2 linked regions of the Nothobranchius furzeri genome follow. The protein of the gene in region 1 purifies or fractionates together with the protein of each later gene. This does not show direct contact. Links are inferred from orthologs where the notes say so. Each region holds a gene or a part of one and is shown on either strand. Other genes may lie near its edges.

Region 1 (3,531 bases):
ACACTGGCAGGATTCTGTCGGTGATTTCAGTTCAACCTTCTTCTTAAGCGTCTGACCTGAAAGAATATAATCTATACGTAAAAAGCTAACAGGTTAACAGTGAACAAGTCATCTGGGGATGAACTTTTAAAACTAATGTTACTTATGCACAGCCAGACAGGACGTTCAGAGCTGAAGGAAAAGTTTGTGTTTTTCGCTGAAAGATAAAAACAACGAGGTATTTCCACGACGCTAGCTACTACATCATGTGACACTGCTAGAGATCAGAGAGAGAAATAAAGTCACAGGAACTGTTAGGGCCGCCGCCGTGTTGGAGCCCCAGTGTGTGTGCAGCACTTCCTGGCCCAGGGCGTGCCGTTTCCCTGTTCAGCAGTGCAGCACCTTGGACAGCTGCCCTTGGGAAACAACCAGCTTTCCTCCTGGACCATGGACAGCACCAGGGCGGCAGGCACAGCCCGCTGGGACTGATCCGGGGAGAGAAGTTGTTTGTGGGTTGCAGCAGCAACTGGTGTTCTCTTCCCTTGTGCTTCTCGGCTCCGTCTAAACCTTTTGCAGTTTTGTGCTTGCTGCTAGAGAGAGTAGGTAGAATTTTTGAAGTTTGGACAGTTTCAGTTAGTTTGGCTCGTCTTTCAGACACACCTTGGTTAACTACCCGGTGGGTTTTTGCCCGTTTTGGATTTCCAGTCCCCTTTCAACAAAGGAGAGTAATTTTAGGATTTCCAGTGCCTGGACGTTCTCAGTTAATTTGGTAATCTTAGTTTGGTTCGTCTTTTAGACCCACCATGGCTAATTTCTAGGTGAGGGTTTTGCCCCCCCCCCCCCCCCCCCCCCCTTTAGTAAACCTGTGGAGACAAGGACATTTTGAGTTGGTTTTGCTTTGTCATGCCTTCCCCCCCTTGAGGGTGACCTTACGTTAGACTCGTCCATTTTATGTTTCCCCTCCTCACCTTCCTAGCTGAGCCCACTGTAGGGGGTAACAGGAATCATACAATCACGAGTGTCCTCAGGCTAAGATGCTCCTGATCACCTCTTGTAGTAGGCCAGCTCCTCCTGCAGCAGGAACACCTTGGCCTTCAGCTCGTTCCTCTCATGCAGGACGTCCCTCAGCTCCTGCAGGGTGAACCGAGGCCTGTTGGGGTCCTTGAGGTCCAATCCGCCCGACTCCTCCTCACAAAACGCCTCCTGAGAAGGAAAAATCCCACATGCTAAAGGAGAGAGTCAAAGGAAAGGGCGGAAGCAGGGAGGAAGTGAGGGTACCTTGGTGAAATATTGGAACACAGCAGGCATGTCCTCATCGCACATCGCCTCCTGGTGGCAAATGTTGAACTGTAAGTCAGACATCGCCCTCTTTGTTCCAATACTTTGTTTAGTTTAGTTTTTCTAGAGTCAGCCCAACAGAAACAGCCAGGGTCTGGTAAAGAAAAACTCCAGCTCTGAGCAAACAAACGGTCCGGATTCTAGAAATAATACCTACACCTAGCTGGTGTGTGTGTGTGTGTGTGTGTGTGTGTGTGTGTGTGTGTGTGTGTGTGTGTGTGTGTGTGTGTGTGTGTGTGTATAATATCTAATTAAATACTGAACAGGTTTTAATGAAACTCTCAGAAAGCAAACCCTGGCTCTCCATCGTGTGGCCTAGAGGTCGACCGGTACGGTTTTTCTATCGCCGATAGGATGCCGATGTGAAAGAGACACTTTCCACCTTATTTTAATACTAAATCTGAACTTATTCAGTGTTAAAGTTAGTCCCCTACGTAAAGCTAATTAAGAGCATTTATTATGCAGCTATTAGTGAACATAAACATACATCTGAATGAAATTCTGCAACAGCACCAAGATGTGCCTGACTTTAATCGGCTGAACTAAGGACAAATATCCCGTATGGTTGCGTCTGCCCCGTGTGAACCCTATGCAGTGTGGCTGCCACAGACACCAGAGCTTAGAAATCTGTTTAAATAAGAGTTTTAAGGTTCAAATGCTATTTTAGTTGTTAAAATAAAGAAACTTTAAGGAAACATCAAGAACGGTCAGGCAGGAAAACAAAAGACAAAAAGGAAAGAAAACCGTCATCCTTCCCTGCTAACAACTCAACAGCATCAGTCCAAAAGGCTTCAGAGGAGCTCAGATCCATCTGAGTCAAGTTGAACCAGCAGAGAAATGTAATCTTAAGGTTTCGACTCATCTGGAGGCAGTGTGGTGGCGTGTGCCTCCAACACTCACAGCTACACAGCAGATCTGGAGACAAACAGCTGAAATGAATCATTTTCCAGATGGTTTAGTTCCCTTTGTCTTCGCTTACTAACATAAATGGTAACTGTGCAGTTTTACACACACCGCTCCCCACGGGGACGGGTCAAACGCGGACCGGTGTGTGACGATGACTACGGGACGTAAGCTACAGTAGATGAGTGAACATCAGAACCACTTCAGGAATCCCGGCAGACGGAACAAGCCCCTCAGCTGGAGGCTAGGCCAGCTTTCGCTTTGCTTTATGAGCACGGAGGAACATTTAGGTGCTGTTAGGGTGTACTTTCTTCTTCCGGCTCTTGGAGAGTACAGACGCTTTTTTCTCCTCTCCCTCCCTCCTCCTCCCAAGGCTCTTTGTCCTGTGTTGTGCACGGCACTTTCTGCATTTTTTCTGGAAACTGGAGATTATTAAACATGGACCTGGTCAGTTGGTCTCTCAACGCGATTGATAAGATTTTTTCAGTGATGAGAACGGGAGAAGGGGCTCCCGGTTGCCCTTCTGGGACAGAGCCAGCTGGGTATATCATGGACTCCTGGAAACAGTGGAACATGATCTGCCTCTCTCAACTGTCTGTAGAGGATTCTGAAGACGTCTGGATATTCGTGGTTTTGGTGTCGGGATTCCTGCTGTTTGGCCTGAGCGGTTATCTGGCTTACCGGAACATTAACGAGCTTTCGAGGAATATTGGCTCAATCCGGGTGCTCAGGGATGGATTACACCGCGCTGTAAACTCAGACTCATATAATTGTCGAGATGAGTTGTAAGCTTGGAACTTTGGCTGAGATTCAGGCTCTGGCACAGAAGGTGGATTCCATCAAGGAGCGAGTGGATGGATCAGCACGGATTGGGATAGATTAATTACGCCATTATTGGATCTAGAGGGGTTGAAGACCAACAGAACTTTAAGACAGAGAGGAAGTTATCTCTGTCTGTCCCCAAAACCATTCTTATCTGAATCTGGTGCCCTTGAGCCTGTGAGGCTGAAGTAAAAACTCCCCTCAGAAGAAATGTGGAATGCTGCCGTCGCCATGGAAACCCTTTCTCCCTATCCCAGCCTGGGCGGGACTGTGACCGGTGAAGGCCGTGGAACCGTATCTAGGAGTCACTGTGCCCTCTAACCCATTATCTCCCTCCCCTGTCCAAATGGAGGTGATGAGCGCTGCTCCATGTGGCTGCACGCGCTGAAGTGAGGAGAGTCCCAACCCTACCTCCCCACCTAGTGGACACTTCTGTTGTGTGATGTCTGAAGTCTGTTGGATTTCTGTCTGAGGTGTTTTTTTGCATAG
Region 2 (2,305 bases), on another chromosome or scaffold:
CAATGTATGAGGAGCCTTCGTGGTTGGCTTCTGCAAACTGGTTAAGAATGATTGTGATTGGCTGATTTCTGCGTGAAATGCAAATCAGGTCCACAAAGTCTAAATGTCTTCTGTGCAAATATTTCGCCCATCGTCATTTATTGGACTGATGAATATTGGTTGGAAAACATTTTACATGTTCAATCTTAGGACAAACATTCCACTCCATATTTTTTAAGTTTGTGATTTTTTTGGGGGGCAAAATGTTTTTAAATTGATACGAATTTTAGGCTACTTCAGTTGAGCTGGAACAATTTTTTATGGTAATTTTTTTTTATATTTTTATGATGCATTTGTTTAATCTGAGCCCTGGTCTGACTACTTAAAATACAGATCAGCGTTTTGATGTTTGACTAAATTTCATTATATTAATTAACTTTAAATTAAAACCGTTCCTGGCCCTTCCTGATTCTCCAACAGCTGAATGTCTACCTGAGTTACGTGGTAAACTAGTACGGTGCATGCTTTAGCATCATTTGGGTCAGTGGGTGGAGTTGATCCAAGAAAAAAAACAACAAAAACAAAAGCATGTTTTTGTTTGGCAGGGACACAGCAGGTCAGGAACGGTTCCACACCATCACCACCTCCTACTACAGAGGAGCGATGGGCATCATGCTGGTCTACGACATCACGAACGCCAAGAGCTTTGAAAACATCAGCAAATGGCTGCGCAACATTGATGAGGTGAGTGTTGCATGTTGGGAAGTCTCCCTCTCGGCTGGTCTGGAAAAGGTTTTATTGGTAATTCCTCACCCTGGGTTTTAAAGAGGAAAGGAATCACAATGACTTTCCTGTTGACTACAAATGGGACCTTTTGCTCCAAAAGCGTACAGTTGAATCTGCGGAAGCTGAAATTTTGATAAAGGTGGAAGAACAATGTATCAAATGATTTAGCTCTGTGTTTTTGTCCCAAGGTCCTTCAGAGACAGCAGTTTAAGACAAAAAAACAATCATCTAGGTTTAAACGGAGCATTATCTTTTAATTGTATTAATTAATTGGAGTTTTCCAGTTAAATTTAGTCTTAAAAATTGCGAATATCATCTGGCTTTTAGTGTTGCGATATTGTATGGATATTGTGTCATAAGATTCTTGCTCTGTGCTTTGGCTTTAAAATGTGAAATTATGTTTTTGTTGCTATTATTTATTCTGCAATATTTCCTGGAACACTGAAAAAACATTTTTTAAACTTTCTAACGGGTCATTCTGAGTGTTTCATGCAGGCTGAAAATGAAAATAGTCTCCTACACCTATCTCCTGCATTAGCTTCTGATAGAAAACAGACGGTGAAACTCTAGGATTAGAAAAGCCTGACAGATCTACGTCACACTGTCGCTTAACATTCATGGACTCACCCATCTTGACTCACGATGAGGAAGGCTGTTGTTGGTTTAGCATCCAGGAAACCGCAGAGAACCCCTCGGCTAGTAGAAGCTAACCGTTAGCATTAGCAACTCCACCACACAGCAGAACTCCTCCAGGCTTGTGTTATTTGTGGAGATAAAACATAAATGTTGCAGAGCAAACAGTCAGTGGTAGAGTCATGCTGCTGTTAGCCAATCAGAGGAGGAGATGTCCGAATATCAGGAAATAAGACTCAAAAACCCGCCGTCTGAAGCTACTTTCTCCAGCTGACTTGTACTTCATGATTCAGGCACATCTGAGCTTTTTCCCTCCAGAGTATGTCTTACAAGGCATCCATTCCTACTAGAGACCTCTGGAAATGTATGTTCATCACCTTAAATATTCTGTTTTCAGCATGCGAACGAGGATGTGGAGAGAATGCTGCTAGGCAACAAGTGTGACATGGAGGACAAGAGGGTTGTACTAAAAACCAAGGGGGAGCAGGTGAGTTAGTTGGTATCCTGTTCTGTGATGTTTGGGAGATCAGTGAGTCTGTACCAGCTGATCACATTTCAGTCGACTCCACATCAGGAGCAGAGCGTTCTAGGTGCAGCTCAGTGTTTACCTGCATGTGGAGACAATAATCCTTTAATGATGCATCCTTAGATTAGTGTTTTTATCTTTATAATCGTGGCTTTAAAGGTGAGCCTTGTGAAAACAGTTTTCAGGTAAATTGTAGTTTCTGTTACCCGTAGTTGGATGAGCTTTGGTGTGAGAACTGTACCTGAAGACTTCTAAGGAGGTTTACATTAGATTTCATCTGCATTGATCCGACATTTGTACGATAATTCCACTCTAAAAGACAAGATTGTTTATTTATTGACCCAATTGGTTTGTTTGAATGAAGATTCAACTTTAACCTGA

What was found. Proteins that work in one complex are often made in the same cells at the same time.
Region 2: the proteins of rilpl1 (region 1) and rab10 purify together in Homo sapiens (co-immunoprecipitation; 3 studies listed by BioGRID and IntAct, with this or other methods). This does not show direct contact. The link is inferred for Nothobranchius furzeri from reciprocal best matches to the Homo sapiens genes RILPL1 and RAB10.

What each region holds. Positions count from the first base shown.
Region 1 is NC_091746.1:75,752,723-75,756,253, reverse strand, and holds part of rilpl1 (RILP-like protein 1), read right to left. Parts: intron 1,309-3,531; coding exon 1,258-1,308; intron 1,183-1,257; coding exon 1,028-1,182; intron 1-1,027. UniProt on the Homo sapiens protein: Plays a role in the regulation of cell shape and polarity. Plays a role in cellular protein transport, including protein transport away from primary cilia.
Region 2 is NC_091742.1:11,399,499-11,401,803, forward strand, and holds part of rab10 (ras-related protein Rab-10), read left to right. Parts: intron 1-584; coding exon 585-723; intron 724-1,795; coding exon 1,796-1,885; intron 1,886-2,305. UniProt on the Homo sapiens protein: The small GTPases Rab are key regulators of intracellular membrane trafficking, from the formation of transport vesicles to their fusion with membranes.